2 linked regions of the Saccharomyces cerevisiae S288C genome follow. Each later gene encodes a partner of the first gene's protein in a complex. Each region holds a gene or a part of one and is shown in the gene's direction. Other genes may lie near its edges.

Region 1 (6,435 bases):
TGTATTGTTGTGTGGCAAAATTCAACACATAATTACCTTCATGACGGAATTCTGTTAAGACTGACCATAATATTCTGATATTCACGACATGGCGCAGATAGATCCAAAAGAACACGAACAAGCCGAACACAAAGGGAGTAAATACAGAATTCAGATAGTTTAATGTCTTAGACAAAGAAAGGAAAAAATCTGACACATCCATAGTAATATAGATAGCCAATCCCATTTTGGTAAAATGGAAAACATATGATGACCAAATTAATAATAATGTCACAATGTGATGAAAAACCAATTCCTTGTAATCCTTTCTTGGCTTTTCTAATTGTAGAACAAGAACACAAGCCTGTTGCGCCCAAAATGCCGCTTGACCCAAGTAAAATATCTTAAACAAGAACGGATTGGTTATAACAGGATATGTTCTGTACATTGGTTTTGTCTTGAACAACCACAAATCACTATGGTACATAATATAAAGACCAAAGGGCCCTGAAACTCCGCAATAAAATATGGCATACATTTGTTCTAGCATACGCTTTTGACGATGCTCGGAAGTAACATTTAGGTATACCGTGAATGGTCGAATTACAACATCCATCAAAAACTCACGTAAAAATGTGAAGAAAATCATGTAGAAAAACACAAAACTCAAATCTTTGATACCTTTTGCATATGAGTCTGTGCCATCAACTTGATATGATATGGCTACGAACATGTGCAGCGGGTTTGATTCTGTTCTATTCCCAGATAAAAAGTACGCGCTATACACGCATACAAGTATGAAGAATGGTGTCAACCAACTATGACGGTAATTCATTTCTCTATATGAAAACCAAACCTTCCACAGTAGGTCACTATCCTTTTTAGAGTCACCAGTCAAGGCTTTCATCCTTTTTTTGGCCTCATTTTTAGAGGCAGCACTTTCAGGCATGGCTGCAAAGCCAGGAACTGTATCACCTAAATCAATTTTACCCACGGAAGAGTTTCGTCTTCTTGTTTTTGCATTAACAACTAACCTATCGATAGATTTGTCCGTAGCTGATGTCATGTTGTCGTTATTTCTTCAGTTTCTCTGTATCTTGGAGTTCACTCTCAACACTGTCTAATATACCTTGCCACTTTAGATAGACAAGCAGTCAGATCAATTGAGACAACCTTACGAAATCGTTTGGCAAATATCTTGACCTTCTTAGTACAGGGCTGCAGTTTTCCTTGCCTTGTTTGTCAAGTGATAGCGCGTAAAATGTTGATGCTGCAATTTGCTTTTCCCGCTAAAAAAATGGAATTTTTTCATCGTTTTTCACTACCCCTGGGCTGCCCTCGGTCAAGAAGGATTTCAAATGGAAGATGACGCATTAGGTAAGTTTAAAGCGTTAAATTCTCTATAAAAGGGATCTCTATTTACCTGTAATATACTATCGATATTAGTCTTGACGGACTGGGGTGTCCCTGGTCATAATACCCTAAAGGAAAAACGACTACGACCTTTGTCGGTCTAGCCGAAAGGTGTTTATATTTATGGAATCAGCAAGTGCAGGAAGATAGCAGGCTCTAAGATTGATTCAAAAGCTAAACCCTACATTACTGCCGCAGAACTTCGGTAGCCTTTGTACGTAATTATATACATTATTCTAATGGTTAACCTCATTTACCGTTATTAGTGATTAGTTAAGAAATTCGAATTACATAAATGAAACGCAATGGATTCTAACTGTTAAATATAGGGGCCATGCCAGAGGCAATGCGTAAATCTATCTAAGGAAACCGTTGACAAAAATGTCATCATCTGCGATTAAAATAAGGAATGCACTGTTGAAGGCAACAGATCCCAAGTTGAGAAGTGATAACTGGCAATACATTTTAGATGTTTGCGATTTGGTGAAGGAAGATCCCGAAGATAATGGACAAGAGGTTATGTCTCTTATAGAGAAGAGGCTAGAACAACAGGATGCTAACGTGATCTTAAGAACCCTCTCTTTGACGGTATCTTTGGCAGAAAATTGTGGTTCCCGCTTAAGACAGGAAATTAGTTCAAAAAATTTTACCTCTTTGTTATATGCGCTCATCGAGAGCCATTCTGTACACATTACTCTAAAAAAAGCGGTGACTGATGTTGTCAAGCAACTGTCTGATTCATTCAAGGATGACCCATCATTACGCGCCATGGGAGATCTATATGACAAAATTAAAAGAAAGGCTCCATATTTGGTACAGCCTAATGTACCAGAGAAGCATAACATGAGTACCCAGGCAGACAACTCAGATGATGAGGAATTACAAAAAGCACTAAAAATGTCTTTGTTTGAGTACGAAAAGCAAAAAAAGCTACAAGAACAGGAAAAAGAAAGTGCCGAAGTCCTTCCGCAGCAACAGCAGCAGCATCAGCAGCAGAATCAAGCTCCTGCTCACAAAATACCGGCACAAACCGTTGTGAGAAGAGTTCGGGCTCTATATGACTTAACCACAAACGAACCGGATGAATTGTCCTTTAGGAAGGGCGATGTTATTACAGTGCTGGAACAAGTATATAGAGATTGGTGGAAGGGAGCTCTTCGAGGAAATATGGGTATATTTCCATTAAATTATGTAACACCGATTGTTGAGCCATCGAAAGAAGAAATTGAGAAGGAAAAAAATAAGGAAGCCATAGTATTCTCTCAAAAAACTACCATAGATCAACTTCATAATTCGCTTAATGCAGCTTCTAAAACGGGAAATTCAAATGAAGTTTTGCAAGATCCTCATATTGGAGATATGTACGGATCTGTAACGCCTTTGAGACCTCAAGTTACGAGAATGTTAGGTAAATATGCTAAAGAAAAAGAAGACATGTTATCCCTGCGTCAAGTCTTAGCAAATGCAGAACGCTCATATAATCAACTAATGGATCGTGCAGCTAACGCACATATCTCACCACCAGTTCCAGGCCCTGCACTCTACGCAGGAATGACTCATGCTAATAATACTCCAGTAATGCCACCTCAGAGGCAGAGTTACCAAAGCAATGAGTACTCACCTTACCCTTCTAATTTGCCAATCCAACATCCTACGAATAGCGCAAATAATACCCCACAATACGGTTATGATCTTGGATATTCAGTTGTTAGCCAACCACCACCTGGTTATGAACAATAGCCCTTCAACTTATATAGCACCTTTACATATCTTTAATTTTTACGAAGAGCATTTTATTCAACTTTTGTACCTTTAAAGACGGTTTTCAGCCCACACATTTTTTGTTATTTTACACCACACAGTAAAACTTTCTTGCTTTTTTTTCTTGAGACTCCCCGACCATTGTTCGATATTCCAATTTTCGCAATCTTCAGAAAAGGGTATCCTAACATTCTAAATTAATAATAAAGAAGAGAGGCTACAAGCATTTATTAGTGTGAAGCATTTAAAGTAACTTCAGGAAATAAACGCGCAAATAAACCAAAAATGTCCACTGATTCTATTGTTAAAGCCTCCAACTGGAGATTAGTCGAAGTCGGCCGTGTCGTTTTGATCAAAAAGGGTCAATCCGCAGGTAAATTGGCTGCTATCGTTGAAATTATCGACCAAAAGAAGGTATGTTGAACCTAAAACCCACCGTGGACAAACTGAGGAGGAAATTGTAAGGAAGAGAAAGTCCCCGTATGTTCAGGGACCGCCAACGACTTCCTGATTCATGCCTGAATAGTGAAACATGTTAAACAATGAGTAGATGCTGAAATATGCAATGGGACAGAGGGCCGGAGATGTTTCTATTCTTTTTTTGCATAAACAACAGTGAAATTTCTACATATTTTGTTACTGGCAAACTCCTTCCCTGGCAGTTAATAACTCCCATACTTAAGAAGATAACTTCAGCACATGTAGCCATACCTCCTCAATTGCCAAATAATCTTTTCCTGTTTTCAAAGTATTTCAATTTACTAACAACTTTTATGAATAATTTTTTAAATTATTCGTTATAATTACTATAGGTTTTGATTGATGGTCCAAAAGCTGGTGTCCCACGTCAAGCCATCAACTTGGGTCAAGTTGTCTTAACTCCATTGACCTTTGCTCTACCAAGAGGTGCTAGAACTGCTACCGTTTCTAAGAAGTGGGCTGCTGCTGGTGTTTGCGAAAAGTGGGCTGCTTCATCTTGGGCTAAGAAGATTGCTCAACGTGAAAGACGTGCTGCTTTGACTGACTTTGAAAGATTCCAAGTTATGGTTTTAAGAAAGCAAAAGAGATACACTGTCAAGAAGGCTTTGGCTAAGGCTTAAAAAAAGAAGAATAATTCTAAAATCCATAGGTAAGTACTGAAAGCAATTTTGCGTTCCGTCAATGCATATTATATATATTAATCTTAACCATTTATGTAAACAACATATCATTTCATTTTGTTCTGGCCACATTCCCTGTTCCTCTCAATATAGTGATGTTTTATAAGGGATATTCTTTGCGGCTCCATTATAAATACACTTTACCATGAGAGTTTCCTCACCAGCTATATTACTCGCGCCAACTACCATTCGACGCAAGGAACAAAAAAGCATCTAGATAATAGTAGAGAGGTGGTGATACACCCTCAGGTTGCTATGACGATATATTCTCCGTAAATTCTTTCTTACGATTATTCCTTTAGATCGGCAAGAGATTTGGGCTTGAGGAAGCGATAAAATTCTTTGTTGACAAAACTCTCCCTTAGTGCTTGTGAAATAAACATCAATAATCATTTTTTTATTTTTCGCGTTTTTAAGATAATGTCTTAACCAATTTTCTAAGTTCGGAACACAAAACCCAATGTTTAATCATTTTTAATAAACAATTTAGTATATATATTATTTTAATTTTATTAAATTAATTAAAATTAAAAGAATTATTAGTCATGTGATTACCATCCTACTTATTATACTAAATCGTTTTGTGGATGTGTAATTGTTGGAGTTCTTCTTATCTACTTTTTAACTTGTGTGTAATTAGAGCTGTACATTCAAGGTAAGGAATGTAATGCACCAATGATTACCTAAATCAAATTCGAAATATGTATCAGTATATTATAGGAATGTTAATTCGCTCGTGCGTACTAATTTTTCCGAGGTCACTCGCAAATCCAGAATTCTAAAGGATGAAAGTATATTTTCTGAAATCGTCAACAAAGAAGGGATGTGATATATTCAAAATGGAAAGATTCCTCCTTCTTTCATTTAGAAATAGGAAACTAACCAGTAAATTAGAAACAAAGAATGGCTCTCAATAAACTAAAGAATATACCTTCTTTAACAAACAGTTCTCATAGCTCAATTAACGGCATTGCATCCAATGCTGCAAATTCCAAACCAAGCGGAGCAGACACGGATGATATCGATGAGAATGATGAATCTGGGCAAAGTATTCTATTAAATATTATTTCCCAGCTGAAGCCAGGTTGTGATTTATCTAGAATCACACTTCCGACATTTATTCTGGAAAAAAAATCGATGTTGGAGAGAATCACTAATCAATTACAATTCCCAGATGTTCTTTTAGAAGCACACTCCAATAAAGACGGGCTGCAAAGGTTCGTTAAAGTGGTAGCATGGTACCTAGCAGGTTGGCACATTGGGCCCAGGGCTGTGAAGAAGCCCCTAAATCCCATTCTTGGAGAACACTTTACAGCTTATTGGGATTTGCCTAACAAGCAACAAGCCTTTTACATTGCAGAACAAACGAGTCACCATCCTCCTGAATCTGCGTATTTTTACATGATTCCAGAATCGAATATTAGAGTTGATGGAGTTGTTGTGCCAAAATCGAAATTTTTAGGAAACTCAAGTGCTGCAATGATGGAGGGGTTAACTGTATTGCAATTCCTTGATATCAAGGATGCAAATGGTAAACCAGAGAAATATACTCTATCGCAACCAAATGTTTACGCAAGGGGAATTCTGTTTGGCAAGATGAGGATTGAATTGGGAGATCACATGGTCATTATGGGTCCTAAGTATCAAGTGGATATTGAGTTCAAAACAAAGGGCTTTATTTCTGGTACCTATGATGCAATTGAAGGTACAATTAAGGATTACGATGGTAAGGAATACTACCAAATTAGTGGTAAGTGGAATGATATTATGTATATCAAAGATTTGAGGGAAAAAAGCTCTAAAAAGACTGTTCTCTTCGATACTCATCAGCATTTTCCTCTAGCTCCTAAAGTCCGCCCATTGGAGGAACAGGGAGAATACGAATCGAGAAGGCTTTGGAAGAAGGTTACGGATGCGCTGGCTGTACGTGACCATGAAGTAGCTACAGAAGAAAAGTTTCAGATAGAAAACCGCCAAAGAGAGCTGGCCAAAAAGAGGGCCGAAGACGGCGTTGAATTTCATTCAAAACTATTTAGAAGGGCAGAGCCAGGTGAGGATTTAGATTATTATATTTACAAGCACATCCCTGAAGGGACCGACAAGCATGAAGAACAGATCAGGA
Region 2 (4,050 bases), on another chromosome or scaffold:
ATATTGGCGCTGTAAATTCTTCACTTGATTAAGATTTTCTGTAATGATCTCATCTCACAAATACATCGCAAATCAACTTGAAAATTTTTAATACAATAAAAGATTTGAAGGAAAAAAAAAGTGCCTGTGCGCGATGTTACTTAAAAACAAAAAGATTAAATAATTGCAATATCATCTAGTTGGATTCTAAATATACTACCAAACAAGGGCTTAAACATTTTAATAAACGATTTACATATTTACTGTGGGTATGGCAATGGGTGAGCGTAGGTATGCTACGGTAGGCGATGTAGTGAGTAGTGCGGACGAACCGTAGCCGTAACGTTTAATGCCCCCTGCCTTTTCTTCTCAATTGCTCACATGTAAGCAAAGTCTTCCAAGAATCTGGTTTTACTCGTAGCCTTTTAACGCTGTTTTTTTTTTTTGCACACCTTTAAAACCTATAGAAACTCCTTCATATAAAATGTACTAGTTATAAGATGACTTTTTATATTCAAAATTAGAAGAAAACTTAACTAAAATTAAAAAAATAGCGGCTATTAAAAGGTATTAAAAAGTGAGAAAAAAAGAAAAAAATTATAAACTTGAGAAATCAAAGGAGACTAAATGCATAAGCAAAGAGAAGAGGATCTCCTCGGATGATAGATTTATACAATTACTCTAACTTAGAAGGTTTACTAGACGGATTAACGGACTTGAATCGAATTCCGAAGGAATACTCCGCAGTATTGGAGCCATATTTTCAGAATATAGCAAGAAATGCACATTTAAAGTCTAGAGCTCTAAAAATTTGTCGTTCTAATTTCCATAAATGGAACGAAGAAGGTGCGAAGACAGTCAATCCGGAAATTATAAGAAGATGCCTTAACCTGTGGTATGTTTTGAAGGGCAAGGAATATAAAAAGTTGAAGGATCCTCCGCCTGCTGATAATATCATTAAGGATGAGATTGATGTCTCATATGTTAAGAATTTGAATGTAGTCAGGTTGGAATTTGACGAATTTGGTAAACTCATAAGTAATCCATTAGAGAATTTGATCTTGGAAGAGGTCGAAGTGAATGATTTCATACAAGAATAAACCTAAAGTGTGTTCACTCATCTAATATGCACGGAGCCTACCTTTTAGCTTTTGCTGCCAAACTAAACCAAGATTGAAAGATATATAATCGACTATCTTTCGTCTCGTAATCTGTATCATGCAATTTAAATTAATTATCAACATAAAATGCTCTAGTTAGCACGCGCATATCCAGGAAAGTTCACCAGTAACTATGTACTAGACAAAAGCAAACTGTTCGGAGCGACCATACACCATATGTTGTTGAATCAACTTTTCTTAAGGCTCTTTCGAGTTCATCATTAACCAACCTAGGTATTTTCCCGATTTTTTGGTAATATGTCAAAACAGCTACTTTGTATACATTTATAGACGCCTGGTGTCCTTTGAGCCTCACTTATATAAAGTAACCTTCACAAGATTTTGGATTTTGGTAATACATACGCTACTGCTATTTCTTGCGGAGCAGCAGAATCATCTTGCTCGGCCTCCTTTTCTGAAAATTTCGATGATACCTGAAATAATCATCATTAGCAGAGGGAATTTAAAAATAGAGGGTGTAAAATTATCAAGATTTTTTTTTGCTAAGGTGAATGAGTAGTGAGTAAAGAACTAAGAACAGTATGTCCGTTAGCACGCCAAGTGAGTTAGACGCATTAATAGAACAAGCCACTAGTGAGAGCATTCCCAACGGTGACCTTGATCTCCCCATAGCGTTGGAAATTTCAGATGTGTTAAGATCTAGAAGGGTAAATCCCAAAGATTCTATGCGTTGTATAAAGAAAAGGATTCTCAATACGGCCGATAATCCAAATACCCAATTGTCTTCCTGGAAGCTTACCAATATATGTGTAAAAAATGGTGGAACGCCTTTTATTAAGGAAATTTGTTCCAGAGAGTTCATGGATACCATGGAACATGTCATTTTAAGAGAAGATAGCAACGAAGAACTTTCTGAGCTGGTAAAGACCATATTATATGAACTATACGTAGCCTTCAAAAATGATTCGCAACTTAACTATGTGGCAAAAGTTTATGATAAATTAATCTCTCGTGGCATTAAATTCCCTGAAAAGCTAACACTTTCCAATTCTCCGACTGCAATGTTTGACTCGAAGACGCCCGCAGATTGGATTGATTCTGATGCTTGTATGATTTGCTCCAAAAAGTTTTCTCTACTAAATAGGAAACATCACTGTCGTTCCTGTGGTGGAGTTTTCTGCCAAGAACACTCATCAAATAGTATACCCTTACCTGATTTGGGTATATATGAGCCAGTCAGAGTATGTGATAGCTGCTTTGAAGATTACGATTTGAAGAGACATGACGACAGTAAAAAATCTAAAAAACATCGCCATAAAAGAAAGAAGGACAGGGACTACTCAACTCCTGAGGATGAAGAAGAGCTGATAAGGAAAGCAATAGAACTCTCCTTGAAAGAATCTAGAAATAGCGCTAGTAGCGAGCCTATTGTCCCCGTTGTAGAATCAAAGAATGAGGTGAAGAGACAAGAAATAGAAGAAGAAGAAGATCCTGATTTAAAAGCTGCTATTCAGGAAAGCTTGAGAGAAGCTGAAGAAGCGAAGCTACGCAGTGAGCGTCAAAAAGCCTCTAGACAGATGCAACCCCAACAGCCATCACCTCAACCTCAACCTATCCATTCCGTTGATTTATCTGATGAGGAGAAAGACAGCATATACATGTTTGCTTCACTTGTCGAAAAAATGAAATCGAGGCCCTTGAACGAAATTTTGGAAGACTCTAAATTACAAAACTTGGCTCAAAGAGTATTTGCTTCCAAAGCAAGGTTGAATTATGCTTTAAATGATAAAGCTCAGAAATACAATACTTTGATAGAAATGAACGGCAAGATTTCGGAAATTATGAACATATACGATAGATTATTGGAGCAACAGCTACAAAGCATCAATTTGTCTCAGCAATACACACTTCCACAAGTCCCTTCTGATCCGTACAATTACCTAACAGAAAATGTGCAAAATCCAGCAGAAAGCTATCAAACACCTCCCCTCCAGCAACTATCATCTCATCAATACAAACCACAACAGGATGTCTCACGCCAACAATCGGTAAAAGCAAATTCATCACCTACCACTAATATTGATCACTTGAAAACCATCGATGTGACACCACACGCACAGCAAAAGCCTCAATCGCACGTTGAACTTGCACCTTCGGACCCACCTTATCCAAAAGAAGAGGCCGAAGATGAAGGAACACAGGCAGTGCAAGATGAGGAATCCTCCACACAAGAATCCCGCGAAAGGCCGTATCCAGTAGAAACAGAGAATGGTGAAACTTCAATAAATAAACGGCCTCAAGGCATTACACGTTACGATTTTCCAACTGTTCCTGCACGCAAATTCGTCCAACCGGAGTCAACTGTACCACTTCCTGCAAGTTCCTCTGAAATTCCGATCAAAGAGGAAAGGCCGCCTAGTCCTCAAGAGGAACTGCTAATAGAGCTTTAATATTGTAGCCTTTTCTATGTATTTGTAAAAAGAAACCTAGCGCTTATAAATATATACATACATATATATATAATTGCTTGTTACGCAACTTATACATATTTCTGTCATTAAACTAGTTTTTAAGGTGAATATTCATAATTTATGTCAGTATTAACATTGAAACCGTCAAAAAAAAAAGTATCAATATAGACAAAGGAAGGACCATTTTAAGAAAGTGGTTTTAAGGAAGAAACTTGTTCCTGCATATTTATAGTTAATTCCTATCTTCTTGTTTATCCTGTTTTTTGACCACCTGGCTTGCAGCTAATAGTGAAAAAACACAAATTTTTACCAACCTTCCATGGTATAGTCATGTTGTATACTCGGTGTAACACTAGTAATAAACTTTAAGAAAACAATCAAGTATTGGTCTACCCGTAACGAATCATCAATATCGTCTTGTAAATCCTCCCAGTCTCCGACACCGTCCAGCTCTTGTTCTTCCTGCAGCTCTTTCCTTC

Evidence for each region. The genes of interacting proteins can lie anywhere in the genome.
Region 2: the proteins of HSE1 (region 1) and VPS27 are in contact, whole or in part, in a crystal structure (PDB 2PJW), measured with the Saccharomyces cerevisiae proteins. Residues at the interface, in NP_011861.1 of Saccharomyces cerevisiae: Val292 (codon at 2,647), Phe293 (codon at 2,650), Gln295 (codon at 2,656), Lys296 (codon at 2,659), Ile299 (codon at 2,668), Asp300 (codon at 2,671), Leu302 (codon at 2,677), His303 (codon at 2,680), Leu306 (codon at 2,689), Asn307 (codon at 2,692), Ala309 (codon at 2,698), Ser310 (codon at 2,701), Ser315 (codon at 2,716), Asn316 (codon at 2,719), Leu319 (codon at 2,728), Tyr328 (codon at 2,755), Val331 (codon at 2,764), Thr332 (codon at 2,767), Arg335 (codon at 2,776), Val338 (codon at 2,785), Met341 (codon at 2,794), Leu342 (codon at 2,797), Tyr345 (codon at 2,806), Ala346 (codon at 2,809), Glu348 (codon at 2,815), Lys349 (codon at 2,818), Met352 (codon at 2,827), Leu353 (codon at 2,830), Leu355 (codon at 2,836), Arg356 (codon at 2,839); in NP_014403.3 of Saccharomyces cerevisiae: Asp349 (codon at 2,726), Leu350 (codon at 2,729), Lys355 (codon at 2,744), Ile358 (codon at 2,753), Tyr359 (codon at 2,756), Phe361 (codon at 2,762), Ala362 (codon at 2,765), Val365 (codon at 2,774), Glu366 (codon at 2,777), Met368 (codon at 2,783), Lys369 (codon at 2,786), Ser370 (codon at 2,789), Arg371 (codon at 2,792), Asn374 (codon at 2,801), Leu377 (codon at 2,810), Glu378 (codon at 2,813), Gln383 (codon at 2,828), Ala386 (codon at 2,837), Val389 (codon at 2,846), Phe390 (codon at 2,849), Lys393 (codon at 2,858), Leu396 (codon at 2,867), Asn397 (codon at 2,870), Ala399 (codon at 2,876), Leu400 (codon at 2,879), Lys403 (codon at 2,888), Ala404 (codon at 2,891), Lys406 (codon at 2,897), Tyr407 (codon at 2,900), Thr409 (codon at 2,906).

Annotation. Positions count from the first base shown.
Region 1 is NC_001140.6:100,839-107,273, forward strand, and holds HSE1 (ESCRT-0 subunit protein HSE1), read left to right. Parts: upstream 1-1,773; coding exon 1,774-3,132; downstream 3,133-6,435. Other genes in the region: sphingosine N-acyltransferase LAG1, read right to left, coding at 1-1,045; 60S ribosomal protein eL14 RPL14B, read left to right, coding at 3,439-3,567, 3,966-4,253; oxysterol-binding protein related protein OSH7, read left to right, coding at 5,217-6,435. UniProt on the Saccharomyces cerevisiae protein: Component of the ESCRT-0 complex which is the sorting receptor for ubiquitinated cargo proteins at the multivesicular body (MVB) and recruits ESCRT-I to the MVB outer membrane.
Region 2 is NC_001146.8:635,305-639,354, forward strand, and holds VPS27 (ESCRT-0 subunit protein VPS27), read left to right. Parts: upstream 1-1,681; coding exon 1,682-3,550; downstream 3,551-4,050. Other genes in the region: SWM2 (Swm2p), read left to right, coding at 639-1,079; ATG3 (Atg3p), read right to left, coding at 3,878-4,050. UniProt on the Saccharomyces cerevisiae protein: Component of the ESCRT-0 complex which is the sorting receptor for ubiquitinated cargo proteins at the multivesicular body (MVB) and recruits ESCRT-I to the MVB outer membrane.